Linked DNA regions of Macaca mulatta. The protein of the gene in region 4 purifies or fractionates together with the protein of the main gene of each other region. This does not show direct contact. Links are inferred from orthologs where the notes say so. Each region holds a gene or a part of one and is shown on either strand. Other genes may lie near its edges. The genes, in order: HDAC4, HDAC1, SMAD1, RUNX2, EP300, UBTF and SMAD3.

The links.
Region 1: the proteins of RUNX2 (region 4) and HDAC4 purify together in Homo sapiens (affinity purification with western blotting; 3 studies listed by BioGRID). This does not show direct contact. The link is inferred for Macaca mulatta from reciprocal best matches to the Homo sapiens genes RUNX2 and HDAC4.
Region 2: the proteins of RUNX2 (region 4) and HDAC1 purify together in Homo sapiens (affinity purification with western blotting, with the first as the bait; 3 studies listed by BioGRID). This does not show direct contact. The link is inferred for Macaca mulatta from reciprocal best matches to the Homo sapiens genes RUNX2 and HDAC1.
Region 3: the proteins of RUNX2 (region 4) and SMAD1 purify together in Homo sapiens (affinity purification with western blotting; 3 studies listed by BioGRID). This does not show direct contact. The link is inferred for Macaca mulatta from reciprocal best matches to the Homo sapiens genes RUNX2 and SMAD1.
Region 5: the proteins of RUNX2 (region 4) and EP300 purify together in Homo sapiens (affinity purification with western blotting; 4 studies listed by BioGRID). This does not show direct contact. The link is inferred for Macaca mulatta from reciprocal best matches to the Homo sapiens genes RUNX2 and EP300.
Region 6: the proteins of RUNX2 (region 4) and UBTF purify together in Homo sapiens (co-immunoprecipitation; 3 studies listed by BioGRID and IntAct, with this or other methods). This does not show direct contact. The link is inferred for Macaca mulatta from reciprocal best matches to the Homo sapiens genes RUNX2 and UBTF.
Region 7: the proteins of RUNX2 (region 4) and SMAD3 purify together in Homo sapiens (affinity purification with western blotting; 3 studies listed by BioGRID). This does not show direct contact. The link is inferred for Macaca mulatta from reciprocal best matches to the Homo sapiens genes RUNX2 and SMAD3.

Annotation. Positions count from the first base shown.
Region 1 is NC_133417.1:144,645,241-144,649,949, forward strand, and holds the start of HDAC4 (histone deacetylase 4), read right to left. Parts: upstream 3,132-4,709; 5' UTR 2,984-3,131; exon of another isoform or gene 2,669-2,983; intron 1-2,668. UniProt on the Homo sapiens protein: Responsible for the deacetylation of lysine residues on the N-terminal part of the core histones (H2A, H2B, H3 and H4).
Region 2 is NC_133406.1:208,584,447-208,588,902, reverse strand, and holds the start of HDAC1 (histone deacetylase 1), read left to right. Parts: upstream 1-1,494; 5' UTR 1,495-1,560; coding exon 1,561-1,609; intron 1,610-4,456. UniProt on the Homo sapiens protein: Histone deacetylase that catalyzes the deacetylation of lysine residues on the N-terminal part of the core histones (H2A, H2B, H3 and H4).
Region 3 is NC_133410.1:154,128,193-154,131,324, reverse strand, and holds the end of SMAD1 (mothers against decapentaplegic homolog 1), read right to left. Parts: intron 1,119-3,132; coding exon 975-1,118; 3' UTR 589-974; downstream 1-588. UniProt on the Homo sapiens protein: Transcriptional modulator that plays a role in various cellular processes, including embryonic development, cell differentiation, and tissue homeostasis.
Region 4 is NC_133409.1:136,726,712-136,731,173, reverse strand, and holds the start of RUNX2 (runt-related transcription factor 2), read left to right. Parts: upstream 1-1,401; 5' UTR 1,402-2,209; coding exon 2,210-2,590; intron 2,591-4,462. UniProt on the Homo sapiens protein: Transcription factor involved in osteoblastic differentiation and skeletal morphogenesis. Essential for the maturation of osteoblasts and both intramembranous and endochondral ossification.
Region 5 is NC_133415.1:10,339,299-10,342,131, reverse strand, and holds part of EP300 (histone acetyltransferase p300), read left to right. Parts: intron 1-768; coding exon 769-1,050; intron 1,051-1,294; coding exon 1,295-2,833. UniProt on the Homo sapiens protein: Functions as a histone acetyltransferase and regulates transcription via chromatin remodeling. Acetylates all four core histones in nucleosomes. Histone acetylation gives an epigenetic tag for transcriptional activation.
Region 6 is NC_133421.1:68,591,226-68,595,701, reverse strand, and holds the start of UBTF (nucleolar transcription factor 1), read left to right. Parts: upstream 1-1,557; 5' UTR 1,558-1,697; intron 1,698-2,507; exon of another isoform or gene 2,508-2,582; intron 2,583-2,776; exon of another isoform or gene 2,777-3,070; intron 3,071-3,267; exon of another isoform or gene 3,268-3,482; intron 3,483-4,143; 5' UTR 4,144-4,210; coding exon 4,211-4,268; exon of another isoform or gene 4,269-4,323; intron 4,324-4,476. UniProt on the Homo sapiens protein: Recognizes the ribosomal RNA gene promoter and activates transcription mediated by RNA polymerase I (Pol I) through cooperative interactions with the transcription factor SL1/TIF-IB complex.
Region 7 is NC_133412.1:44,704,225-44,708,209, reverse strand, and holds part of SMAD3 (mothers against decapentaplegic homolog 3), read right to left. Parts: intron 1,693-3,985; coding exon 1,480-1,692; intron 1-1,479. UniProt on the Homo sapiens protein: Receptor-regulated SMAD (R-SMAD) that is an intracellular signal transducer and transcriptional modulator activated by TGF-beta (transforming growth factor) and activin type 1 receptor kinases.

The DNA.
Region 1 (4,709 bases), on a different chromosome or scaffold from region 4:
AAACTGACCGTATAAAGAGAACTTAATGACCTCAGTGACACTTGTTCCCATAGAAACGCTTATGAATGAGTTAAGGTCTATTCAAAGGTAGCATCACTTTCGACATGGCACCCATCATCTGACATGAACCAGAAGGTGCGGTACCCGCCTCTAATGTCAAGGCCAAACACCCAGAGCCCACCACACGGCAGGGCATGTGCTGACCATCTGAGATCAAAACAAACACTCCCTCCAAATCCATCCTTTCCAACTCCTTATCCCAGGACACACTGGGGGCTGCAAACAACGGGGCAGGGGCTCAGTCCCGGTTCCACAGCCACAAGTTGAGGTGGAGACTGGGCCCCTTCGCCCTTCATGTCCGCCATCCCCAGCTACAGTCAACAATTCTGAGCCTCGGAGGGAAAGCCCGGCCACAGCCTGTCGCCCCGCTGCCTCTCAGCAGCGGCAGTTCTCTCGGCCTCTGCGGCTCCTTCGCGCCCTACATCAGGTATTAATATATTACTCATGGCAGCTTCTGAGCTATGAAAGCCCAGCCGTTTTCAATAGAGAACGGTATGGACGAATTCTACAGGAGTGATGAAATGCTTCTTCTGCTCCGGCAATTAAGACAGCATAAAGTCGCCTTTCCTTTGGTGCCACCCCCAACATCAAAGGATTGGAATTCAAAGCCATTCATGCTGCATTGAAACCTCACAATGAAGCTGGAGAATGGAAGTCGATTACTGGGCATAAATATGCAGTAGTTAAAAGGAAAGAGTTATAACGAAATTAAATGCAGCAACCCCACAATGTGTGGAAACTTCCAGCACTAGAGCCCTCCTGGTAAACATCCATAGAGCATCCTTCCCAACCAGGTCTCTGGCCACAGAGAGTCCAGATGGGCTGCCTGAGCCGCACGTGGCCAGTGTGCCAGGTTGTTCTGCCCATCTTGCTACAGCAACAGCCCCCAAGGCCTCCGAGAACATGGCATTTGCGGATTTTTATTTTGCATGGCTAGGAAGCTGCTGAACACAGAATATTGTCCCTGGTTCAGGACTCCGAGGCCACATCTGCCCTTCGTCCCCAGGCCTTCCAGGCCTATGTGCAGTCCAGTCATCTTCCCTCTGCCCCGCCCCTTAGCCCAGGGCTCCCCGGGGGGCATGCCTGCTGCCAGCTCCCCTTGCAGAAGAAAGAACCCTAAAGAGGGCAGCGTTGCCTCTGCCTGCTGAGTACAGCCGGCTTCTTTTCTAATTGATTACTGCTCTCTTTAGGATGGGATTTGATCTCTAAAATAAAAGCCCAGAACACAGAAAGCTATAGAAGTCTTACAATGTGTTGGGGTGTGTGTTTTTAAGGCATGAAAATACTTCCCTCCCACACAAATGTGAGTTCTTCTGGGGAAAGATGCCACAGATCCCAGAGAGTAGAATATCTGGGAAGGCTCGATCAGTCTTAAAAATAGGTAATTGAACACAGATTTTAGAATTCACAGGAGCTACCTGAAAAAAAATTAAATTTCACATATTTTTGATATCCAAAACTCCATTCTGATGAAACTTCTAACTGGGTGGCATTCTGCATTTCCAATTATAATAGAGTAATTGTGTTGCCATAGTTACTGCAAAATTCTGCAATAACTTTTGTTGCTTTGTAACTGCTGTAGTGTATATTTGTGTACAAGCAGCTGAGTTTTCTTAATTCGATCTCCCTCCCTTCCACCCTCCCTTTCCCCAGTCACCACCACCACCTTTCCTGGCTGGGTCCTGAAACCACCACACCAGCCTTCTTTGGACAGTCCCGAAAATAATGCACAGAATTATCAGAAGCAATTAAAACTCCAGGCAACCACGATCATATTACAAAAGAAAAAGTGAAACCAGGTCAAGGTGCAAACCTGCCAGTATCCCCCCAGTCCTGCTGGGCTGGCGCTGGGCCAGGGCTGTTTACAGGTTTACTCCCAGGCCTTAACTGCTTCAGTGATTTGTGGGAATAAACAGAAAAGCCTGAATAGAGAAAAACGGGGCGGCAAAGTGACTACACAGGCCCTTTCCTCCCTCACGGAGAGCAAGCAGAACTGCTCTCAGCAAGCAATTAGGTAGGTCTCTACAGTCATGCAATTAGGATTTAGTTAAGAAAGTCATTAGTTTTAAAATAACTTAAGTTTAATTTCTGCAACGCTTTATTTGAAAATTGTGTCACAGCAGGTCAATTTACAACATGCAATAAAGAAAACACTCATATCAGCTGCCTCAAGTTATTACAAATTTTTGATGTGCATTAAATGAGTACACTGGGTTCCACCCCCGGCCTTTCCAACTGATACGCACGGTCTCCTGCTATAACAGTGTCAAATAATTCAACGCTCAATGTAAATACGAGATAATTTGCTTATGATTCCGTGGTGTGTTTTCGCAACGCGGGGAAACGCGGATCCCACCCCCGAGCTGGACCGGGCCCCGTCTCGGCCTGCGGGCGCCCTGCGGGCTGAGCCGAGGGGGTCCCGGGCAGCACCCCCGCCTCCCGCGACCCCCCAGGCGCTCGCAGCGGCGACGACACGCGAGGGGCCGCGGACCCCGGCAGGGACGTTTTTCTGCAAACTCACAGCATTTGACAAAGTTACATAAACGGCGCCCGCCCGGCCCCGGCGCCCGCCCGCCCCCGCCCTCACTCCCGGCGGCCCGGAGCCCACCTGTTCGGGGGGCGCGGGCCCGGCACCGGGCGACGGCGCCGCTGCCTGCCGTGCCCACCCCCGCGCCCCCGCCCCGGCGGGCGAGGCCGCCTCGCGGCGCGGCTGGAAAGGTCCAGAAGGGGCCGGGCGGCCCTGGGGACCGGCGGGTCCCACGGCGCGCGGCCCGCGCTGGCCCCCGCCTCCCACGGCCGCGCGCGGGGCGGGTGTGGACCGGCGGCGTCCACCTGCCGCGGGCTCCGAGGCCTGCAGGCTGCGCGGGGCGCGGGGCGGACGGCGGACAATGGCCCGCGGGCGCCGGGCCGGGGCTGCGCTTACCGCGGCGGGCGGCGGCGGCCGGCTCTAGCCCTGCTCGGGCGCTCCGCGCCGCATCTCCTCAGCCTGCGCCGCCACCCGCCGGCGCGCGGGCTCGGGCTCGGGCGGCGACAGCCGGGACGCGGCCGCGGCGCCGCCGGGGGCCCAGGCTGGGAGGCTGCTCGGGCGGCGGCGGCGGCGGCGGCGCGGGCGGGCGCGCGGGTTCGGGCTCGGGCTCGGGCGGCGGCGGGGACGGTGCTCCGCGGCGGCGGCCCCACAACCTCCCCTCCTCATTCACAAAAAATTGACCCACGTTGAACCATGATGCTTCTCCCCCCTCCAGCGTCGAGCCGGGCGGCGATAGGCCACCCTGCACGCCCGTCAGCCGACCCGGCCCCGCCCCGCCCGCCGGCGGCTCGGCAACCACTGGCTGCGGCAGCCTTGCGTCACCTCCCCATATGGGCCCCGCCCTCCCGCCTGGTTTCTAATGAAGAGCTCGTCAATTACGGCTCGGCCCCGCCTCCCGCCCGCCCGCCCCGGGCGCCTGGCCGGCCTTCCATTGGTCCGTTGAAACCTGCGCACGGCCCGTCTGCTCCCACCCCTCGCCCCGCGGCTGCCCAACCGCGGGGCCGGACGCCCCGTGAGCGGCGGAGAGGCTCCACCCCTGCCCGCCTCCCCGCACGCATCCTGGACCTCATTGGCTCCTGGAGCTGTCAATTCTAGGGGGCGGGGCGTACCAAAAGACGCTCCAGGCGCCAGCCGCTGGGTGCTTCGCGGTTGAGGAGGCGCAGAGACCCGGAGCCAGTAGTGACCGTAAACACGGGCCCCGGCCGTGTCTAGTCCCACTCGGTAGCCCGCATGGCTACCTAGCGGTCAGCACCGCGTGTCTGCGAGCCTAATTCGCGCTTAGAGGGCACACAATGGGGTGCAGGCTGAGGCGGGGAGCTGGCCAGGCCTCGCCGTTGCCTCCATCTTGGGTACGGGCAGTGGGTCACGTGGTGCTGCGTGCGCACGGAGGCGCAGGGCGGCCCGGTCACCGAGTGCGCAGGCGCCGCGGGCCTCGCCCAGCCCCGCGGCGGGAACGCGGCTGTCTGGGTGTGCATGGGGTGCAGGTCTGCCAGGCCTGCAACTGCTGCTGAGGGTCGTGGGATGCGCTCGTCGGGTCCCTGCTCAGGCGGAGGGAGCCCGGCCCGCCGCCAGGGTCTCGAGTCACGGGCCAGGCAGGCGTGGAGGTGGCGGGAACTCCGCACCGGCCGGGCGGGTGTTGTTTTAAGGCCGCAGAGCTTGGGGGGCTTGTGTTGAATTAAAGGTCGGTCCGTAGATCCCCGCAAGCGCCTTTGGTTGCCAGCTGGTGTGGGCGGGAGTCTTCAGTGGCCACCCTCCTGCTGGTGATGTTTCCATTTCTTTCCAACAAGAGTGTGACAACTTTTAAACTTGGGTGCACACACTGTCCCCGGAATCCCGCGTTCCAGGGAGGAAGCGCCTTTGACAGCGCGCGCCGGTGCGTGGGGCCTGACGGCGTGGGCCCAGGGATGCGGACCTGGCGGGGATGAGCGTTCGCTTCGATTGTGGGCCATTCCTCTTAGATGAGCAAAGATCCGTTTTTACAGCATTCTCGACCTTTGATTCTTGGCGGGGGGGGAAACTGTAGTTGTGTGGATAAAAATACAGTTAGCAAAATAAAAATGCCAATTTTGCATTTCTTTAAATATCTCAATAACGAATAATTAGAAAACTCTGGTCATTGTGA
Region 2 (4,456 bases), on a different chromosome or scaffold from region 4:
TCTAGAGACAATTTTGGTTGTCACAGCCTGCGGGGAAGGTGCTACTGGCATCTAGTGGGTAGAGGCTAAGGATGCTGCTTAATTTTTTTTTTTTTTTTTTTTTTTTTTTTTTGGAGACAAGAGTTTCGCTCTAGTTGCCCAGGCACAGAACAGCTTCCTACAAAAAAGAATTACCTGGCCCAAAATGTCATTAGCTTCCAAGCTGAGAAACCTGCTCTTCTAGGCCAGGCACCATGGCTCATGCCTGTAACATTGGGAGGCCGAGGCGGGCGGATCCTGAGCTCAGGAGTCGGAGACCACCTTGACCAACATGGAGAAACCTCGTCTCTACTAAAAATACAAAGTTAGCCGGGCGTGGTGGCGCATGCCTGTAAGGCCAGCTACTCGGGAGGCTGAGGCAGGAGAACCGCTTGAACCCAGACGCAGAGATTGCGGTGAGCCGAGATCACACAGCACAGATCACACCATTGTACTCCAGCCAGGGCAACTAAAGCGGAACTGTCCTCAGGGAAGGGAAGGGAAGGGAGGGGAGGGGAGAGGAGGGGAGGGGAAGGGAGGGGAAGAGAAGGGAAGGAAAAAGGAAAGGAAAAAGGAAAGGAAAGGAAAGGAAAGGAAAGGAAAATCTGCTCTCCTATCATAGGATAATCCCATTTCTTCCTGTCTAAAGAGACTCCTACTTAAGTCATCCTGGGTGACTGCTTCAGGGAGGTAGGTTTTGGAGTCAGAAAGGCTGGGTTCTGTCACTTTGTTACAGTGCCTCTGGTGCAAAGAAGGCATTCAAAAAACCCTGTACAGTTGAAAAATTGAATTTAATTACTTTGTGTAACTTTGAGTAATTCACAGAAATCTGAACTTCTTTATCCTGTCCTGTAAAATGGAGGTAAAAAGCCCTTGGCCGAGAGGTGTTTTGAGGAAAAACTGAAATAACATTGGTAAACTGTCGCACAGTACTTGGCACACAGCAGCCCCTCGACAAACAGCTTTCTTTCCCTTTCTTGTCAGTTTCTTCCTCTCAAAACCAGCGTGTTGCTTTTCTTTTTAATTTAATTATTTTTCTGTAGCCCTCCTTTGCGATCACAAACTCGCTTTCTAACCCAGGTTCAGCCCTTTTATTGGCTGAGTGACCTTGTGCAAGTCACTTTTCCCCTGTAGGCCTCGGTTTATTCTCCGTAAAATCAGAAAGTTGGCCTCCGATCTCCAAGCACGCTTTTCACGACCAAGTGGGACTGTTAAGTTTACGGAGCTGCTTTCCTCCCCCGGGACTGATGGTACGGTCCCCGGGCGGCTCCCCACCCATCTGTCGCAGACCTTGGTACAGGCCCAGGGGGCCCTCGGCGGCCTCTCCGGGCTGCCCTTGCCCCCTGCCGAGTTCCGGGCCCGTGTCTGCGCAAGCTGATTGGCTGGAGCGGTGCCCGGGCTGCGCGGCTATAGGTGAGCTCAGGAGGGGACGGGCGGGGCGGGCCGGAGACCCGCCCCCTCCCCCCTGGGTCGGACGCTGAGCTGAGCCGCGGGCGGGAGGGCGGACGGACCGACTGACGGTAGGGACGGGAGGCGAGCAAGATGGCGCAGACGCAGGGCACCCGGAGGAAAGTCTGTTACTACTACGACGGTGAGCACTGTCCTCGCGGCGGGGGCGGGGCCGGGCCGGGCCGAACCGGGGACCTGGAGGCTGAGGCTGGAGCGCCGATGGGAGGCTGCGGGAGGCTGAGGCGCTGGGGAGAGGCTCGGAGAGGAGGCTGCGAGGGGGAAGTCGAGGCTGAGGGAGGAGGCTGTGAGGAAAGGAGATCGAGGCTGAGATCGAGGGGATCGCGTGGGGGAACCCTGAGGTAATCTTGGTGGGAAGATTCTGAGGAAGTCTGATGTGGAGAGTTTGATGTGGAGAGTTTGAGTGGGACTCCTAGAGGGGAGGGTGCGTCCGAGGAGGGAGGCTGAATCTGATGGAGACGGCTGCAAGGATACATTTTCTTGCCGAGAACCCAAAGCTCTTCCCTGCCCCGTCTCTTCCTCATCTTTTCTGGGAGAAGAGCCCTGCACGACTGGTCGCCCGCCTCCCCTCCCCCAGCCTCTGAGCGGGGCCTGCGGTTGCTACTGCGACGTGGGGCGCCAGGGGTTGCAAGGAGAAGGATGCAACCTGTTAAAACAGGCTTCTCACTTAATCTCTCAAGCAGGTTACTGTGTTCGAGGAAGTGTTGAGGGGCTGGGGCGGTGGGAATGATCGGGTCCCAGTGACCGAAGTTCTCTCCGTGTCAGAGCTCAGAGTGTTAGAGGAGCACAGAGAATAGGCACCGAACTCCACCTGAGGAGTCAGCGAAGGAGGGGACGTCTCAGGACCTGAAGAACAGGAGTTCTTAGCCAGGCAAAGGGAAGGCAAAGATAACAGCAAGTTTCAGAGGCAAGAGAGAGGACAGCACCTTTGAAAAACAGGCATTTGACCGGGCGCGGTGGCTCACGCCTGTAATCCGAGCGCTTTGGGAGGCCAGGGCAGGCGGATCACTTGAGGTCAGGAGTTCGAGACCAGCCTGGCCAACATGGCAAAACCCTGTCTCTACAAAAATATAAAAAGTAGCTGGGCGTGGTGGCGCGCGCCTGTAATTCCAGCTACTTGGGAGGCTGAGGCAGGAGAATCCCTTGAACTTGGGAGGTGGAGGTTGCAGTGAGATGAGATCAGGCCACTGGATTCCAGCCTGGGTGACAGAGCAAGACTCTGTCTCAAAAAAAAAAAAAAGGGAAGAAAGAAAAGCAGGCATTTGTAACAGTATGGCTGAGACATAGATTTGGGGGCCTATTGTAGAAGGTGGGGACCCGGGGCGAGGGAAGTGTTGCAAATAATGTGGTTGCTGAAGTAAATGGAGACCGACCAGGTGAGGTGGCTCACACCTGTAATCCCAGCACTTTGGGAGGCCAAGGCTGGTGGATCATCTGAGGTCAGGAGTTCGAGACCAGCCTGGCCAACATGGCGAAACCCCGTCTCTACTAAAAATACAAAATTAGCCGGGCATGGTGTCGCGCACCTGTAATCCCAGCTACTCTGGAGCCTGAGGCAGGAGAATCCCTTAGAACCCGGGAGGTGGAGGTTGCAGTGAGCCAAGATCATACCACTGCACTCCAGCTTGGACAACGGAGTGAGGCTATGTCTTAAAAAAAAAAAAATGTAAACAGGGACCAGACCATGAAGGGCTGGGCATGCTGTCCCAAGGAAGTTGGACTTTATTGAGGGCACTTGTGAATGATTCAAGTTTTATGCAGGTTAGTGACATCATCAGGTTTATACCTTAGAAATTAAAGTCATGGGCTGGGCACGGTGGCTCACACCTGTACTCCCAGCACTTTGGGAGGCTGAGGAGGGCAGATCACGAAGTCAGGAGATCGAGACCATCCTGGCTAACTTGTGAAACCCCGTCTCTACTAAAAATACAAAAAAATTAGCCGAGCGTGGTGGCGGGCGCCTATAATCCCAGCTACTTGGGAGGCTGAGGCAGGAGAATGGTGTGGATGCGGGAGGTGGAGCTTGCAGTGAGCGGAGATCATGCCACTGCACTCTATCCTGGGCGACAGAGGGAGACTCCGTCTCAAAAAAAAAAAAAAGAGAAAGAAATTAAAGTCATGGGGTCCAGGTGCAGTGGCTCACGCCTGTAATCCCAGTACTTTGGGAGGCCGAGGCAGGAGATCACTCGAGGCCAGGAGTTCAAGACCAGCCTGGCCAACGTGGTGAAACCCCGTCTCTACTAAAAATACAAAAATTACCTGGGCGTAGTGGCACGCACCTGTAATCCCAGCTACTCAGGAGGCTGAGGCAGGAGAATCACTTGAACCTGGGAGGCAGAGGTTGCAGTGAGCCAAGATTGCGCCACCGCACTCTAGCCTGGGCAACAGGGTGAGACTCGATCTCAAAAAAATAAAAAAATTAGCCAGGTGTGGTGGCACATGCCTGTAGTCCCAGCTACTCAGGAGGCTGAGGCATAAGAATTGTTTGAAACTGGGAGGCGGAGGTTGCAGTGAGCTGAGTTCTCACCACTGCACTCCATCCTGAGCAAAAGATAGAGACTTGGTCTCAAAAAAACAAAAACGAACAAAAAAAGAAATTCAGATTTTAGGGGTAAGGAAGAAGGCATGGATCCCAAGTTCCTGGTGTGGGCAATACATATATATATAGAGAGAGAGAGACAGTGTCTAGCTCTGTCACCCAGGCTGGAGTGCAGTGGCATGATCTTGGCTCACTGCAACTGCAACGTCCATCTCCTAGATTCAAGGGATTCTCCTGCCTCAGCCTCCTGAGTAGCCAGGATTACAGGCGTACGCCACCATGCTTGGCTAATTTTTGTATTTTTATTAGAGATGGGGTTTCACCATGTTGGCCAGGCTCGTCTCAAACTGACCTCCAGTGATCTGTCTGCCTCAGCCTCCTAAAGTGCTAGGATTACAGGCGTGAGCCACACTTCCTGGCCTCTGGTGTGGG
Region 3 (3,132 bases), on a different chromosome or scaffold from region 4:
CGTAAAAACTGCTTATTAAATTCAAGCACTCCATATAACTGGTATTGAAACATGTAAGCAATTTCAGAATAGCAGGAATTATTCATTTGTTCTCACAGTTACATGAATTAACCAGCTGCAGAACTGCCTTTTGAAGAGCATGAGATAAAAGAATGCCAAAAGAGAGAGAAAAAAATGATAAAAATCTCTAAAAAATGGAAACACAGCAAAATTCAGATATCAGTTTGTTTCTTTAAAGCAACAAACTGAATTTTTACAGTATAGTCTACATTTGCAGTTGTCATTTCCCTCTTCCCCCCACCCACCTCAAATACTCCTAAATTCACTAGTCTAATCAATTCTTAACTTCCAAATACTCTGTACATACATATTTAGGAAAGAGCATATGCCTAGCATTATTCTGACAGCAAGTATGGTCAGTATACAATTTTAGAAAGATTATTATGTATATCATCAAGACTAACCTTTACTGAAAACAAACAAACAAAACCATCGCTAAACAAATAGTTTTAAAATATTATGAAAACCCATGAAAAGAAGACTCAACATGGGCTCTAAACCTGATAAAACACGTTTCAGAACAACTATTAATGCTAAACTTCTGCCCAACGATGACCTTAAAGTGCCAAACACCAAAGAATCTCTTAGGACCATTTTCTAATAGACAATTTGTCCCTGGCTTGGCCATTTCTCCTTTAACTATACACAAAGTCCTGCTAAAAGTCTGCATTTTAGTTTGATTTTACAATAGAATGTTACGATGTAAACTAAACAGGTTCTTGATATCAACAGTATGTTACCAAGGTGGGTTTTTTTGTTTTGTTTTGTTGTTTAAATTTCTGAATCCAACAGTTGGTCACAGAGGTCAAGTATTATCAAGGCTCCTTTGTCAGTTCTCAATCGTGTCTGACTCATCCATCCTTCAAGTACATGCAAGGCTCAATAGTTTTCAAGAGGCAGATGCCTGGGGCCATTTAAGACACAGATGAAATAGGATTATGAGGTGAACCCATTTGAGTAAGAACTTTATCCAGCCACTGGAGGGGGCCGTGCAGATGTATCTCAATCCAGCAGGGGGTGCTAGTAACATCCTGGCGGTGGTATTCTGCTCCCCAGCCCTAGGAAAAACATACTGGAGGTCATTTAACTTGTTTTAACTCAGTGGTTAAACTTATTAAGTAAGAAGGGTTCACATAACCAAGACTCTGATTAAAGCTATGCATCTTTCCTCCCTGCCCCCCGCCGCCGGGGAGAAAAAAACACACATATACAAACACACATATAATTTGGCAGGCAATTTCAAAGGATGGATGTTAGCTCCCCAGGGTCCATCCAAGGATTCCAATAAGAATTACCAGTCTTGAGGAATGAAGATTTTAAAATACATTATAAAGTTGTCTTAATAAAGGCACTGTAAAACTTTTATTTTAATTGCCCATTTCTGATAGTAATGTAATAGCTATTATTAAATTCTCATTTTATCAAGAAAATAAAACAAAAAAGCTATGCTAGACAGACTGACATTCAATTTCTTCCTTATTCGGCCACTGAATCAGCCTCCTATCAACACACAGCTCTTGATCTTTCAATCTCTAAGCAAAACGGGCAGGAGTACATTTAAGTATCCAAAAAGCTATTATTGACACCTAGCCATTGCCATGAATCAATACATTCTATCATTCATTTGTACAAGAAGGTAGCTTGTCAGAACTACTGCATTAAGACAGTAGAGTTCCACAGAATAAAGTCACTATGAAAAAGAGAAAAGTAACTGCTACTGCAAAGATCAAAAACTCACTGGTGGGGATGGACAATGATTAATCCTTTAGTCACTGTTTCATGAGGAGTATCAGAGAAGGTTGGGTTCTATTTATTTCTGCTACCTATCTACTCCAGTAGTTTTAAGAAATAGATCTGGGGCCAGGTGCGGTGGCTCACACCTGTAATCCCAGCACTTTGGGAGTCCAAGACGGGCAGATCACCTGAGGTCGGGAGCTCCAGACCAGCCTGGCCAACATGGTGAAACCCCATCTCTACTAAAAATATAAAAAGTAGCCAGGTGTGGTGGTGTATCCCTGTAATCCCCGCTACTTGGGAAGCTTAGGCATGAGAATCACTTGAATCCAGGAGGCGGAGGTTACCACGAGTCAAGATCACACCACTGCACTCCGGCCTGGGTGACAGAGCAAGACTCTGTCTCAGGCAGGTGGATCACTAGAGGTCAGGAGTTTGAGACCAGCCTGGCCAACATGGCGAAACTCTGACTCTACTAAAAATACAGAAATTAGCCGGGTGCTGTGGCACACGCCTGTAATCCCAGTTACTCGGGAGCCTGAGGCAGGAGAATTGCTTGAACCTGGGAGGCGGAGGTTGTAGTGAGCCGAGATCACACCATTGCACTCCAGACTGGGCGACAGAGCAAGACTCTGTCTTAAAAAAAAAAAAAAAAAAGAAAGAAAGAAAAGGAAATGTATCCGAACATCAAAACTTGTATAAACTACATCTATATAGATATATGTATCTACATAGATGTACGTACACTCATGCGTTTGTAAATATAAACAAACTCCTAAATTTAATTTACAGGCTTATGTGCAGGTTTCCTCCATCAGATATCAACATCTTTGAAGGCAGGAATTTATCTTTACCTCCGATATATAGCATAACGACAGAAGGCAGAAGCTCTATAAATATGTGTTCAGCTGAGCTGACTTGGACTTTTCAGACATAGAGTTTAAAGTACAAATAATTTATAAAATATGTTTTATGTTAACATCCAAAAATCATTTTGAAAACAGCTCAAGATTGGCTACTGTTAGTAAAATGTTCTGTTACAATTTCTTTAAAATGTTGAGTGGGAGAGGATAAAGTGTGCAGTCCATATAATAAAGAACAGTTCTGTAAAAACAGTGTGCACATTTTTTGTTGCTAATATATGATAAACAGTTTCTCTTTAACATTCAGCAGGATTTTTAAATATTATTTACCTTCGGCTCTCTAAATCCAACTTCCAGGCTAAGTTCATTATATCTTGTATAATTCTCCATTCTAGTGCTTATCAGATTATAATTAAAGATATACTAGAGCATAAGGATCTTGATAATAGAGACTTTAGGTGCTTTTTCATCTTTG
Region 4 (4,462 bases):
GCTTTAAAACCAGACAGGGAGAGTCGTGGCAGGTCGCTATGAGGGTGAGGGAGGCGTTTGCACTGAGCAATAAAAACACCCAGTAATGGGTATGTGAATTGCTTTAAATAAGATGGGAGGGAGAGATGACCCAACCATCTTTCTTCCTTAATACTTCGAGGAGGAGGCATTCTAATTCTTCATTTATTTCATAAACTCACTTGTTACTGTGTCAGCTACTCCACTAGGAATCTTTGAAACTTTGGCAACTGAAGATTTTTTTCGCAAACACGTTTTCAAGCTTTGGAAGGCTTTAAAGAGTTTGGTAATAAGCAAGAAACGTAGTAGTACACAACGCCGAGGGTAAAACGGCCCTGTGCCCCCTTCTTGGGGTGTAATAGCCTCAAGCGGATTTCCCGGCTTCTGCGGGCGCAGCACATTGTTTTATTTGTTTTGAAGGCTCAGAGTTTGAGGCTGGTCGTAGACACCCACGTGCTCTGACTCTCATCAGCGTAATGATCGCCTTAGCCAAAGTCGTGTCTATATAAACCACAAAAACCTAATCATTAGAAATCCCAGCCTCCAAAAACCACATTTTAGGTAAAAAGTGCCGCTTTTTTTCCGCGCTCCTTCATCCTCTCGACCGCAACTTTTTGGGGGATCCAAAGTCGCTTTTTAAACCCACACTAGGAAATAAATACATAAATAAACAGCCACGGAAGCATTTTGAATTTTTTAGTTCGTATTTTTAATTTTTTCCCGTGAGCGTTGGGGAAGACAGACACGAAACTTAGTCTTAGATGTAGGATAGACTTAATAAAAGATTTAAATTCATGGAAAAAGGCTGGTGCTTTTCCCCAGCAAGGGTTTTGCAACTATTTTAATCACCAAGCTGACAGTTTTTCAGTCCTTAAAACAAAAACAAACCAACAACAACAAAAAAAACCTCATTCTTGTTCTCTAGGAATGACAAGATTGAATATATAAGAAAAAAGAAATGTCCAGCTATGCACTTGAGTTCCTAAAAACTACTTTGACTAGTTCTCCCCCCACCCCCCTCATTTTTTTGTGTCATTAAAACAAAAAACACCCAAACCCTGCAAAATCTTTTTCCCCTGGGAGTCGCTCAGACAGAGGTGGGGGGTGGAGGTGGGAGGGTGAAGAGTGCTGAGAAGTCAGCACAGACGCTCAAGAATTTTCCTTCCTCCTCTCCTGAAGTTACAACGAAAAATAGCGACAGTCAGATCAGCCGGGGGCTCTCTGGTGTCTCGGCTTCAATCTCTTCCGACAAAGAGGGGGTTCCTTGTCCTAGGGGTGGGGAGAACAAGAGGACGCGACCAGACGAGACTGCCCCTAGACTAGGGCCGCCTTTCGGCTTCGGAAGCTGCACAAGGCGCGCGGGGGGCTCCTTCTCGCGGCCGGCTGGCGGCGGCAGCGGCTGCGATTCGCAGGCTCGAGATCCGTTGCCCCGAGATCCGCTGCCCACGACTTACCTCTTGGCACCTTGAAGCGCGAGAGACAGGGGAGCTTTGCAAATTGTAGGAGGGAGTAGATGCAAGGAGGTGGCGGAGAGAGGGCGAGAAGAAAAGAAGGGAAAGGAAGGAGCCTAGCCGGGGAGCCGGGCTGGCAGCCGCCGCGGGAGGAATCTGAGCGTGCAGCCGGCGCGGGGGGAGCGGCGGCCGCCGCGGAGGCGGCGGCGCGGGAGGGCGGAGGCGCGGCCGCCTGCAGCTGGGTAGCAGCGCGCGGCGCGGCGCGGCACGGCGGTGGCGGACAGAGCGCGGCAATGCCGGCCCCGGGGCTGGACTGCTGAACCCACACCGCTTCACCACCGGACTCGAACTGGGAGGGGGCGCCAGCGCACCCAGGACGCGGTGCCCCAAGGGACCCCACTCCAAGCTGCAAACTCAAGTCCCCCGCCTCCCCGGGCCAAACACACTCCCGCGCCCGTTCGCAGCTGCCACCCCGGGTGTTCCAAAGGCTCCGGCAAAGATCTGCGCCTCCCGGATCTCCCTACCGGCCAGCCCGTCTGCGCCGCATCGCCAGACTCTCTTGGCCCATCAGACTCCGCCCGGCAGTCGGCCTCATCAAACTTGATTTCTCACCTCCTCAGCCCCATCACCTCCATCCTCTTTCCCCCCGTCTCGCCTTCACCCCCCCAATTTCCTCCTTGCCCCTCATTTCCACCCTCCTCCCCCTCCCCCGGCCACTTCGCTAACTTGTGGCTGTTGTGATGCGTATTCCCGTAGATCCGAGCACCAGCCGGCGCTTCAGCCCCCCCTCCAGCAGCCTGCAGCCCGGCAAAATGAGCGACGTGAGCCCGGTGGTGGCTGCGCAACAGCAGCAGCAACAGCAGCAGCAGCAGCAACAGCAGCAGCAGCAGCAGCAGCAACAGCAGCAGCAGCAGGAGGCGGCGGCGGCGGCGGCGGCGGCGGCGGCGGCGGCGGCGGCAGCTGCAGTGCCCCGGTTGCGGCCGCCACACGACAACCGCACCATGGTGGAGATCATCGCCGACCACCCGGCCGAACTCGTCCGCACCGACAGCCCCAACTTCCTGTGCTCGGTACTGCCCTCGCACTGGCGCTGCAACAAGACCCTGCCCGTGGCCTTCAAGGTAAGAGTCTACACCGCCCCCCGCCCCCGGCCCGGAGCCGCGGAACCTGCCCGCCGGTGTCTTCCTGCCCACGGGGCTGGGCCCCGGACGTTCTCCAAGACCTCCTGCCTTGGCGGCTCTAACCCCAGAAACCCCCGGCTGGGCCTCTCCCTCCGGATGCCCTGGCGGGCTCCAGGCTCAGTCCCTCCGCGCAAATCCCTCCTTCTCCCACCTGTGCCCGCTGCCACCCCGACTTCAGCCCTCGTCCCCCTGACCCGTTCATCACTCCTCTTGCCTCCTGCCCGGCCTCGGTTCTCACCCACTCCTTCGCTCCGTCTCCCTTTCCCCCAGGATCCCCAAGGTGCCCACTCTTGCACTGCGAGCGGACTTGCTCCACCCCGCCCCTTTCCCGAGGGCGAGGATCCCCGACACTGTCCCCCGGGGCTCCCGCTTCCTCCTCCTTGGTCATCCCGGCCTGGCCTCATTGCAGGCTGCCCGCGTCGCCTCTCTTTGGGGCTCCGCGCGCTCCCACCCGCTTCCCTCCCAGCCAAAAGCCCCTCCTTAGGTCTCGGCGTCCCCTTCCCTGACCCGCAGAGTTCAGCGGTCCTGGTCCCTCCCGGGCTCCCGGGTCGGGATTCACTGGGTGCCGGCGCCGGGCATTAGTGCCCAGGGCTGGGCGTGGGGTGCTGACTGAGGCGCGCGGGCTGCGCTACCCGTGCCTGGGAGGGTCCCGGACAAGACTAGGGTCTCCAGAGGAGGGGGTGTCAGGACGGGGGCGTTTGCTCTGTTCGCTGACCCGCGCCAGATCCCGTTACCGGGAGGAAGGCGGGGCCGCCTGGGCGTCCGCGAGCCCCGAAGCGGGGGCGTTCAGGGGGCCTGGGCGCTGAACCCTCGAGTGCTGGGAGGTGCTGGCCAGGGGAGGGGGCGGGAGCTCAGGCCGCTTCTTCCAGCCGAGACCGAGCTATGCGCCTCGCCCCGCCATGGAGGGATGAGGGAAACCTGTGAAACAACTTGAGTTCGCCCAATTTGAAAACGGAGGTGAAATTTTGTATTTTTGCTTTAGTATTATTTTTAAAGGACTTAAATCTAAAAAAGGTCCCTCCTGCTTCTGAAAGGTGGTGAGAGGCTCCTGCCGGTGGTCTGAGCACAGAGTGAGTTCGAAGGCTTGAGAGCGGCCTCTGCGCGCCCCGCGGACTCTTGTGCCTGCCCGGCCCGTTAGTTTGAGGGCGGGTGGCAGCCGCGGGAGTCGCAGGCAGGTGCTCCACAGGTTGAGGGTTTAGGATCTGGAGCCTCTCACAGTAGCCCGATGGGTCTCCGTAACTCGATCCGGATTTCCCGGGGCAGTCCTCTCCAGTGGGGGAGACGCGGAGTCCCCAGGGCCCAGCGCATACTGGGTTGATGGGGAAATGGGTTCCCGGGCTGTCCACACTCGCAAGACGCCAGGGATGCAGGGGGTGGTAAGCCAGATGTGGAGATGAGCACTCTCACAAAGGTGCTTTGGGCCCTTTCTACCTCTGAACTTGAGTAGGTGGGCCTGGGTCCCCTGGGTTCTGAGGTCTGTGGAGAGCAGGGCAAGCAAGGCCTCGGGGGAGGTTAAAAAAAAAGTTGGGGGAGGAATCATGCCAGTTTCTCCACTGGGGACCCGGTGGCCAAACTCCCACGGGCCACTGACAGTTCCCAGTTGTTGATAATTCTCACCCCACGCACCAATTCAGATTCCGTGTGTGGGTGGGATGGAAAGAAAGAGGAGTCCAGGTCAATTAGAGCTGGTAATCTCGCTAGGTCTTATATCAGAACAGAAATCAGAATGAATTGTTATGGAAAGGGGATGTTGCTTTCTGGGGCAAGTTTCATTTTGCAGTTGGCTCAAGAAATTTTTTTTTTTAACCGTCA
Region 5 (2,833 bases), on a different chromosome or scaffold from region 4:
TGAATAAGGGAGAAAAAATCACAGGATGTGCATTTCAGTTCTATTTATAGTCAGTCTCAAGATACCAAAAAGGTAAAGCAGGAAAAGAGAGCAGGAGGAGTATGGTAAAACTAACTCAGCATGGCCGGGCGCGGTGGCTCAAGCCTGTAATCCCAGCACTTTGGGAGGCCGAGACGGGCGGATCACGAGGTCAGGAGATCGAGACCATCCTGGCTAACACAGTGAAACCCCGTCTCTACTAAAAAAATACAAAAAAAAAAAACTAGCCGGGCGAGGTGGCAGGTGCCTGTAGTCCCAGCTACTTGGGAGGCTGAGGCAGAAGAATGGCGTAAACCCGGGAGGCGGAGCTTGCAGTGAGCCGAGATCTGGCCACTGCACTCCACCCTGGGTGACAGAGACACTGTCTCAAAAAAAAAAAAAAAAAAAAAAAACTAAGCATTCGCCAGTCTCATTGGTGCTTAGCCTGCTTTACCTGCTCACACCTGTAATCCCAGCACTCTGGGAGGCTGAAACAGGCAGATCACTTGAGCTCAGGAGTTTGAGACTAGCCTGGGTAACATGGTAAAACCTCGTCTCTACAAAAAATGCAGAAATTAGCCAGGCGTGGTGGTGTGGGCCTGTGGTCTCAGCTATTCAGGAAGCCAAGGTGGGATAATTGCTTGAGCCCAGGAGGCAGAGGTTGTAGTGAGCCAAGAGCACACCACTGCACTCCAGTCTGGGTGACAGACCGAGGCCCTGTCTCAAAAAAAGAGATTGTGTGTTTTGCAGGTCTTCTTTGTGATCCGCCTCATTGCTGGCCCTACTGCCAACTCCCTGCCTCCCATTGTTGATCCTGACCCTCTCATCCCCTGTGATCTGATGGATGGTCGGGATGCGTTTCTCACGCTGGCAAGAGACAAGCACCTGGAGTTCTCTTCACTCCGAAGAGCCCAGTGGTCCACCATGTGCATGCTGGTGGAGCTGCACACGCAGAGCCAGGACCGCTTTGTCTACACCTGCAATGAATGCAAGCACCATGTGGAGACACGCTGGCACTGTACTGTCTGTGAGGTAGGCACTGGGTTGTGGGAACAAGGAGGTGAGCTCTGCAGCGTTGTTCTGAGGGGCCATGCAGCCTCGTGTTGTATATAGGCCTGTGGGATGGCAGGGGCCTGGCCTTGTGTTTGCGAGGCAGAGCTGAAGAGGCTGGTTTTTGTTCTACAAAAGGGGCTTTTCCAGCCCAGAGAGTATCCAAAATACTTTTGAATGACTTAAATCTTGGAGAGTTTACCTGCACTTCCTGTTTTTTCTCTAGGATTATGACTTGTGTATCACCTGCTATAACACTAAAAACCATGACCACAAAATGGAGAAACTAGGTCTTGGCTTAGATGATGAGAGCAACAACCAGCAGGCTGCAGCCACCCAGAGCCCAGGCGATTCTCGCCGCCTGAGTATCCAGCGCTGCATCCAGTCTCTGGTCCATGCTTGCCAGTGTCGGAATGCCAATTGCTCCCTGCCATCCTGCCAGAAGATGAAGCGGGTTGTGCAGCATACCAAGGGTTGCAAACGGAAAACCAATGGCGGGTGCCCCATCTGCAAGCAGCTCATCGCCCTCTGCTGCTACCATGCCAAGCACTGCCAGGAGAACAAATGCCCAGTGCCGTTCTGCCTAAACATCAAGCAGAAGCTCCGGCAGCAGCAGCTGCAGCACCGACTACAACAGGCCCAAATGCTTCGCAGAAGGATGGCCAGCATGCAGCGGACTGGTGTGGTCGGGCAGCAACAGGGCCTCCCTTCCCCCACTCCTGCCACTCCAACGACACCAACTGGCCAACAGCCAACCACCCCACAGACGCCCCAGCCCACCTCTCAGCCTCAGCCTACCCCTCCCAATAGTATGCCACCCTACTTGCCCAGGACTCAAGCTGCTGGCCCTGTGTCCCAGGGTAAGGCAGCAGGCCAGGTGACCCCTCCAACCCCTCCTCAGACTGCTCAGCCACCCCTTCCAGGGCCCCCACCTGCAGCAGTGGAAATGGCAATGCAGATTCAGAGAGCAGCAGAGACGCAGCGCCAGATGGCCCACGTGCAAATTTTTCAAAGGCCAATCCAACATCAGATGCCCCCGATGACTCCCATGGCCCCCATGGGTATGAACCCACCTCCCATGACCAGAGGTCCCAGTGGGCATTTGGAGCCAGGGATGGGACCGACGGGGATGCAGCAACAGCCACCCTGGGGCCAAGGAGGATTGCCTCAGCCCCAGCAACTACAGTCTGGGATGCCAAGGCCAGCCATGATGTCAGTGGCCCAGCATGGTCAACCCTTGAACATGGCTCCACAACCAGGATTGGGCCAGGTAGGTGTGAGCCCACTCAAACCAGGCACTGTGTCTCAACAAGCCTTACAAAACCTTTTGCGGACTCTCAGGTCTCCCAGCTCTCCCCTACAGCAGCAACAGGTGCTTAGTATCCTTCACGCCAACCCCCAGCTGTTGGCTGCATTCATCAAGCAGCGGGCTGCCAAGTATGCCAACTCTAATCCACAACCCATCCCTGGGCAGCCTGGCATGCCCCAGGGGCAGCCAGGGCTGCAGCCACCTACCATGCCAGGTCAGCAGGGGGTCCACTCCAATCCAGCCATGCAGAACATGAATCCAATGCAGGCGGGCGTCCAGAGGGCTGGCCTGCCCCAGCAGCAACCCCAGCAGCAACTCCAGCCGCCCATGGGAGGGATGAGCCCCCAGTCTCAGCAGATGAACATGAACCACAACACCATGCCTTCACAATTCCGAGACATCTTGAGACGACAACAGATGATGCAACAGCAGCAGCAACAGGGAGCAGGGCCAGGA
Region 6 (4,476 bases), on a different chromosome or scaffold from region 4:
GGTGGACCCCGTCCAGGCCTTTCATCCCCGGCCTGCAGTTTAGTGAACCGGGAGACGTCTCGTCGCAGGCTGCTCCGCTGCCGCCCGGAGCAGCGAGAACCGGGTGCTGGGCTCCCCTCGCGGCTGCCCGCCGCCGCCGGGGGGCAGCGCCTGCGGCCTGCTTTCCCAGGGCCGGCCGAGGCTTTTTGACAAGCTGATTGCGTGGCGAGGATTGGCTGGTCCGGGCGTGACGCCGGTAACAACAAAGGTGGAGTTGGAAGAAATTAGATTAAAGGAGAGAAAAAAAATTAAAGGGGGAGCTGGCAAAAGACAGGAGGTATAGACCGAGGGGGAGATGCGCCAAGTGGTGTCTCCCGGTTCCGACTCCCCCCCGCCCCGCCTCGACCCCAGAAGATCCCTCGCGCAAACCCACTGGGATTTTGCTCTTTCCCCTACCCCCGCCCAGTGACCGACGCCGGGGTAGGAAGGATAGCCGCTTCTTCTTGAAAAATCCCCGCAACTCCCACCCTGACACCCCTCACTACGACCCAGGGGGAGAACTTTTTGCTCGGACTCCTCGGATCCTAAACCCAGCGAAGAGGGGGACATTGATAAGCTCGTCCTTTTAAAACCCGGAAGGCCCTCGCGGAGCATGGAGATCGGATAAGGCGGGGTGCTCCCTCGGTTTTCCGATGTGTTGCAAATCTAAGAGCTTCTTTCTCGCTTTTTTTTTTTTTCCCCTGTAACTACCCCCCCTCCCTTTTGCTTCAGGGTTGCAAAAGCAAAGAGCAATAAAAAAAAAAAAAAAAACCGCGCACACACTCAGACACACACCAGTGGCGACAGGGGAGAGTTGGAAAGACGCAGGAGAGAAGCAGGAGGCAGGAGGCAGCGGGGATGGAGCAATGGGAGCGGGAAGCAGGCAGGTTTCCTTGCAAATCCCCCTCCGGCCTCACGCCGCCTCCCAGCCCCGGCAGGGGAGCGAGGACCCCGGCGAACAGATGGAGGAGTGGAGCTCGCTCTAGGCAGCTGGGCTTGGCCGGAGAATGGAGGAGCCACCAAGCGACCGGCTGATTGGAAGAGAAACGCAGAGCGATGGAGGCGGGGGTAGGAGGACGATTTCTCTGCGGGGACTGGCGGCGGCGTACACGCCCGGGTCGGGCGCTGCAGAGCTTGGCTGGCTTTCAACCCGCGCTCGCCGGCTCCAGCCCCGCGCGCCCCCACCCCTAGCCCTCCCGGCGGCTCCGCAGGTGAGTGCGAGCTGCGGGCAGAAAGATCCAAAAGTCTCAACACGCCCGCCCTGCAAAAAAGGAAAAAAGAAAAAAAAGGAAGAAAACCATTTTACTTTAAAAAAAAAATTTTTTTTTGTGCAACCCCTAAAGCAGTGGGAGGGAAGGGGTGAGGCTGAGCCGCCCGGAGGAGGCGGAGGGGCCAGGCGAGGCCGGGGTGGCCCGGGAGGCGGCGGCGCCGAGGCGGCTCTGACGGGCAAGCGCTCGGAGCGGCGCTGCGCTGCGCCGAGGCGGGCGGGCGGGCGGGCGGAGCGGGGCGGGCGGAGCGCGGCGCGTGGGGCTCGCCATTAGCCGTCGCTCCGCTTCGCCATCTCGGGCTTTGTCTGGCGACTCGCTGCCCCGGCGTCGGCTGCAGCGGAGCTGCGGCTCGGCTGTTCCGCCCGCCGTGCTCCCAGGTGCCCCCGGCCTGCGCTCCCATCCACACGCTCGGTAAGTGAGCCCGGGCGCCGCGGATTTCGGGGGAGAGGGGTTGCTACGAGTGGCGGCGGCACCGATCTCCATGCGCCCGGGCAGGCCTGGGGAGCCATGCCGGGCTGGATTGAACCGGCTCCCACAGCGGCCCCTCCGCCGGAGCCCGTCGTTCCCTCGCCGTTTCCGGGGTGTAAAGAGCAACGGGGATTTTTTTTTTTAATGCAGAGATTTTCGGTTTTGGGTTTTTTTAAAGTTTCCTATGTACCGTTCGGCAATGAGAGGATCGCGAGGTAGGCGCCGAAGCTGGACGCCGCGATCGGCGTGCGTGCGCCCCAAACCAGTGGCCACGCTCCGGGGGATGAGGGTGGGCGCGGACCGCTCGCTCCGGGAGGCGGGAGAGAGCTGGCCTGGAAGCCCCAGTCTGAGCTGGGAGGACTTGGGGGAGAGCTCCGGAGCAGGGCTGTGGGCGCCCCCCAAGCCTTCCTGGCCGCCGGGGGCCCCTCCGGGCACCCTCTCCGCGGCCGCGCCTCGGCCCTCCCTCCCGCGCCGGCAAAGCCTGCTAGTTCCCCCGCGGGTCTGGCGAGGTCGCTCTCGGCGCCCGCCCGCCCGCCCGCCCCGGCTCCGAGCCCCGCCGCCATCCGGGCGGCTGCGTGTCTCCCTGCCCCGGCCCCCCCCTTCCCCGGCGGCGGCGGCGGCGGCAGCAGCAGCAGCAGCAGCCGCCGCCGCCACCAGCACCAGCACCACCACCACCCCCCTCCCCTCCTTCCTTCCCTCCGCCTCGGCCGCCCGGGTCCCCCCAGCTCCCGCCCCTCCTCCCAGCTGCCCCCCGCGGAGCCCGCCCGGGCAGGCTGTGGGAGGGAGCGGAGCCGGCGAGGCGGGCGGGCTGGCGCTCGCTCCCCGGGGGTCGGTGTGCGCTCTACGGGGAAGGACGCGCTCGCTGCCCCGCTTCTCCCGCCCCCCCTCCCGCTCCTCCTCCTCCCTTCTCCCTCCTCCTCCCCGCTCCGGCGGCTGAGGCTGCGGCGGCGGCGGGGGGTGTGCGAGCTGAGGCCGGGGCCGGCGGCGGGCGGGCTGCCTGCAGGCGGAGGGCGCTGTGCTTTGTGCTTTTCGCCGCGAGGAGCAGCAGGCAGCAGCCACAGCCGCCGCCGCCGCCGCCACAGCAGCAGCAGCCGCCGCCCCAGCGCCGCCGCCTCGCCCGGAGGAGGAGCCGCTGCCGCCGCGGGAGGGAGCTGCGGCTGTGCCCGGCCGAGCGGGGGAGGGCGCCGCCACTCAGAGCCGGGGAGGGAGCCGCCGGAGCGGGAAGCCCGGAGGCCGCGCTGCGCCGGGTAACCGAGGCGGCTGAGAACGCGCGCTGGGTTCGGGGCCGGACAGCAGGGAGCGAACCGCGGGTTGCGGTGGGCGCCCAGCAGGGACCCGGAGCGACCACCGAGCAGGGGACCGGGCGCGAGCAGACCAGGGCACTTGGGAGGACGCCGAGAGCCGGGGGAGGGGAAGGCAGGAAGCGAGGCCTGAGCCGAGCCACGGCCGCTGGCGGAGGAGCCCGCGCTTCTCGGATCCGGCAGGCGCAGTTCTCCCCGGCCGCCGGAGGGGGCGGCGGGGCCGGTGAGCGCTGCGCCCCCGCCTCCCGGCCGCCGTCCTCCCGCCCTCTCCTTGGCTCGGCTCCCCGGAGGCCGGGGCGGGGGCGCCGGCGGGGCTGGGCCGCAGGCTCGGGGGAGGAGGCGGCGGTTCCCGCCGCGGTCGCGCCTCTGTGCCGGGCTCCTCCGTGCGCGTCGGGGTGGCTGGGTGGTGGCGGCGCCTCTGGCCGGGGTGGGTGGCTCGGGGGCGGGGGGCAGGCTAGGCCGCTTCTCTCCGGCTGCTCGCCCGCCTGTGCGGGCGGGGACGGCGAAGGGAGCCCGGGAGGGGGGAGCGGCGAGAATCCGGATCCGGTCCCCGGGGGCGGTGCGGCCGCTGCGCTCCGGGGCTGGCGGCGGCTGCGCTGCGTCCGGGTCCCCGCCGGGTTGCGGAGGCGGGGGGAACCGGCTGGGGGGAGGCGGGAGGAGGAGACTGGGGCGCGTGCCCGCTTCCGTGGCCGCGCGCGCCCTTTACCCGCCCTTCCTCTTCCCCCGCCCTCCAGCCTGGGGCCTCCCCGGGGCGGGCGCTCAGAGGAGGAGGAGATTTTTTTTTTTTTTGGCTGGGGTTGGGGAAGGGGGGCGGAGGGCGGGCGCTCGCTGCACGCGGGAGCTGGGAGCAGGCCCTCGCGTGGGCAGGGGAGGGCGCGCGCCGCGGAGCCGGGCCGCAGGGGCTGGGGGAGGGGGGTCAGGAAGAAGAGGAGGGGCGTACTCTCCCTCCCAGAGACCCCTTAAGTCTGATAAGGTTATGGCTGGGTCTCTGAGAGCGTGGACCTGCCCACCTTTACTCTGGGCGGGGAGGGTTAGAAAGTCGTTCACCTCTCAGCCTTCCTGAGTGGGAACTTGTATGTCTTCCAAAGGGTGAGGTGGCTTTGACCCCGGGTTGCCCGGCCAGCACGACCGAGGAGGTGGCTGGACAGCTGGAGGATGAACGGAGAAGCCGACTGCCCCACAGACCTGGAAATGGCCGCCCCCAAAGGCCAAGGTAGGGGCATCCACTCCCAGCCCTCTGAAACTTAAACCCTCTTTGCCTCGTGGCTGTGGGGCACACTGCCTTCTTCAAGGGCTTTTCCAGTCTGCATACACTGAATTGGGGGAGAAAGTGCCTTGAGTACTTATGAATCAAGCATCTCCCACACTTGATTGGTTTGGCTGAATCCAAATTTTTTGGCCTGGAGTGGCTTACCTCCCCT
Region 7 (3,985 bases), on a different chromosome or scaffold from region 4:
CTATTATCCCAGCTAATCAGGAGGCTGAGATGGGAGGATGGCTTGAGCCCAGGAGTTTGAGACTGGGCCTGGGCAACATAGCAAGACCCTATCTGTAAATCAATCAATCAATCCAACAGTGGTATGCCACCCAGAATAAGTATCTTTTTTGAAGTAAAAGACAAAAAGCAAAATGGGGAGAACGGGTCTGGTAGTGGGGGCTGTCTGTCACTGACAATGAGGTCTCTGAGAGCCATTCCCTACCCTTCCCCACCCCTAGACATCAGGCCCCTCTCCTAGAAAATGACAGCACAGACCTAGGCCTGTGGCCTCCAAACTTTTCTTCTCTTCACTACAGAATCAATCCTCTCTTCAAACGAAGGCTTCTGTGAGAGCCCGAGATATAAAGCAAGCGAATGCAGAGGTGCCCTGGTTCACGTGGGGCCAGGCTTCCCTTTGCTAACCTGCCCAGCTCCTGAATTTGCCCCAGGAACCCTTCGCCAACCCTTGGGGCTCCAGGACGAGGTCTGAGAAAACGTCACTCTGCCATCTCTCCACAGCCCTTCTAAGTTCTCACAGTTGTGTTCTGGATGGTAAAATCCTCTAAGCATGATAACTTCATAAGCAAACCAAGCGATACGTAACACAGCTTCATCTTCCTTAAACTCACAGAGTCATCTTTTACTTATGTTCTGCGGGCTCGAAGGCAGAAGGTTCACAGTAGTGGTGTTTGGATAGTGGACAATTCTTTTCTACCTTTTCTAAATTGTCTAGAATAATGATACATAAAAATAAGAAAAGATCACTCTTCCAACGACGACTGCCTACTTATCAACCTATCCATCTGCACTTTCAAACTCTTTTTATTAACAGGATTTCAGCCGGGCTTGGTGGCTCACGCCTCTAATCCCAGCACTTTGGGAGGCCGAGGCGGGTGGATCACCTGAGGTCAAGAGTTGGAGACCAGCCTGACCAACATGGAGAAACCCCATCTCTACTAAAAATATAAAAATTAGCCGGGCGTGGTGGTTGGGTGCCTGCAATCCCAGCTACTTGAGAGGCTGAGGCAGGAGAATCGCTTGAACCCGGGAGGCAGAGGTTGCAGTGAGCTGAGATTGTGCCATTGCACTCCAGCCTGGATAGAGTGAAACTCTGTCTCAAAAAAAAAAAAAAGATTTCATATGTTGCCTTTCTCATAGACATTCCCTTCTCGATCCCTTAAGTATTTTCCTCTGTGGCTTCCAGGTTTTCTGAGATTATATCTTTGAGTGGGAATGATTAAGTGGCCTGAACACTACCTGTCTGGCCCCTAAACAGGGCAACAGGGAATGTGGGGGCCTTGCTGGGGCGGTGAGTCTTCCCCCATGCCCAGCAGGAGGCAGAGCACAGCTAAGGATGGAGGCAAGGTTCCCTGCAGAGGCTGTGTGTTCGGGCCTGGGGCTGGGGGCGCGATAGAGTGGCAGGGGCAGGGTGGGGGCGGGGAATGGAGCCACCCCATACCGATGTGTCTCCGCGTCAGCTCCACTGCTGCATTCCTGTTGACGTTGGAGAGCAGCCCGAGGCAGAAGCGCTCCGAATTGGAGGGGTCGGTGAAGCCGTCCACAGTCATGGATGGCTGCGAGGCGTGGAACGTCTCCCCGACACGCTGGTTCAGCTCGTAGTAGGAGATGGAGCACCAGAAGGCCGGCTCGCAGTAGGTAACTGGCTGCAGGTCTGTGGACACAGGGCGGGCTACTGGGTCAGTGGGTGCCCCAAGCCCCATGCTGCCTCGATGGGGTCCCATGGACGCTCTGGAGAACCATTTCCCCACATTTCAGAGGGATTAATAGTCTCCCCACCTGGTGCCTTTTATCGTATAAAACTGGCAGCACCCACCAGAACAAGATGCTCAGGTGTCCGGAGGAGATTCCGTCAGCCTTGCCACACTGTGTGTGTAAAGGGCCATTGATTTCTTTTTTTTTTTTTTAAGCTCATAGAGGCCCTGCCCCGCCTGCTTGGCCTTGACTGGATGGAAGGAGTCTTCAAGCAGGGGCTGGGCCAAACCTGAAGAGGACCAGGGGCCACCCAGTACCTGGATGAACCTGGGACAGCCACTGCAGTGTGTCCACTGTGGGGCAGTCCACACCTCCCGCACAGTCACCTCTCAGCCTCTCTTGCAAGGTTCCTACAGTAACCACCATTAATCCCTGCCCCTAAAAGGGCTTTCAGGTTTTGGCTCTGCACAGCCCTGGGGGCAAACTCCCAGCCTGTGGAGCAGCAGCTTCCAAGCCTGCAGCAGCCGAGTGGGCTCCCAATAGGGCCCCGTGTCAGCGCAGTGGACACACCAGGATCGTCCGCAGACTGAGCCTGGAGCCTTGCCTCTTATCACAGAAACCATTTTCCACACTTATCTACATGCCGGCTGCTGGGGTGGCTGGGACACAAACCCATCTGAAAGAAAATCTGGATTTGTCCCAGTTGTCTGTGTAGTCTCCATATGGGGCTCCTCAAAGCAAAACTGCCATCCTGCGAGGGGCTGGTTCTCTTTCTCAGAAGAGTAAATGGCAGCTTCTCCTTACACTGGAAATGGATCCCAGCCTTCCATTTCCTGGGGCCTCCTTGCCCTCCTCTTGCCCCAGCCCAGCGGCCCTGGCGCTGTGCCCTCCTACTGCACGCCTCTGCAGCATCTCCAGGTCCATACTCTCAGCCCTTGGCCGGGCCCTCGGAATTCCCACTCACACCGATGCCACAGCCTCTGGACCAGGACTGCCCTGCGCCCTGGGCCAACCACTTGCAGCTGCTTCTCTGTGCTGCACTGACTGCTGGGCACGAGCCCTTGGCCTGCCACGCTCTGCTTGATGCCTACCTGAATCCCATCCATCTGCTGAAGAATCAGGGAGTCCCCTGCTCATTCTCACTCTTCCATCTCAAAGCTTCAGCCTGGCTCTGAAGTCCCTCTGGCTCTTAAATATACCTGGAGCCACGCAGTGACTAAGGGTGTGCCTCTATGTGAGCATCCTGACTGTCCAACTCGACCATGAGGTCCCAGGGCCCAGGCTGACATCTCTCTTCCCTCACTTTAACCCTCAGCGCAGGGCTCTGTTGAGGGGGGAACAGGAGAGGCTCCCCGTGCCGTCGCCCTGGCCTGAGAACCCTGCTCAATGGATACCAGGCAACGTCTAGGAGGGGGAAACCACCGGGGGCACCCCCGCTCATTAGACCTTCTGAAAGTGTGTAAAGCCCAAGAGAGAAAAGTCAGAAGCTGTTCTGCCCACAGGAAGGGGTCTGGTTGCCTGCAGGACAAAGAGTCCCTGATCCCCTTATGGGGTCTAGGCACATGATCCCTTCTAAAAGCAAGGAGAATGCTACCACGAACAGAGAAGGGGCAGGCCAGTAACACCCCTGCACTCCACACACGCCCAGGAAGTCAGCTGGAGGGTTAGGACACCCTAGGTCAGGTTTTTCAACTTCAGCACTACTGACATTTGGGGCCAGATAATTCTTTGTTGGGTAGGTGGGTGGGAGGGAGCGTGTGTAGATTGTAGGATGTTTACCAGCATTCTGACCCCTGCCCACTAGGTGCTAGCAGTATACATCCATACCACCCTCTCAAATTGTGGCAATAAAAGAAGGCTGTGGATATTGCCAGATGTATTCTAGAGGGCAAAACGGCGCTAGATATTTAACTGGATCATGGGACACAAGCTATAAAGCCATCCTCCAGACAGACTGGAGATCAGTCTTGGCTCAGGCACAGACTAGACGTGCAACTGCGAGCAAACCAGCTACACTCTCTGGGCCTCATCCTCTTTACTCTCGGCGCTGTTTCTAGACAGACAGAGATAACTCATGTGAAGTGCAGGGTGCGCATCAAGCACTCAGCACATGGTGTTAACACAATGATAAAAACTGGATTCTATGAACTTGAAAACAGCCTGGTCCTATCTTGATCACCATCAAGATGGAGGCAAAGCATTCTTAACCTTTTCCTCTCTTCCTGGGGTGGAGCAAAGGAAGATAAGGATGA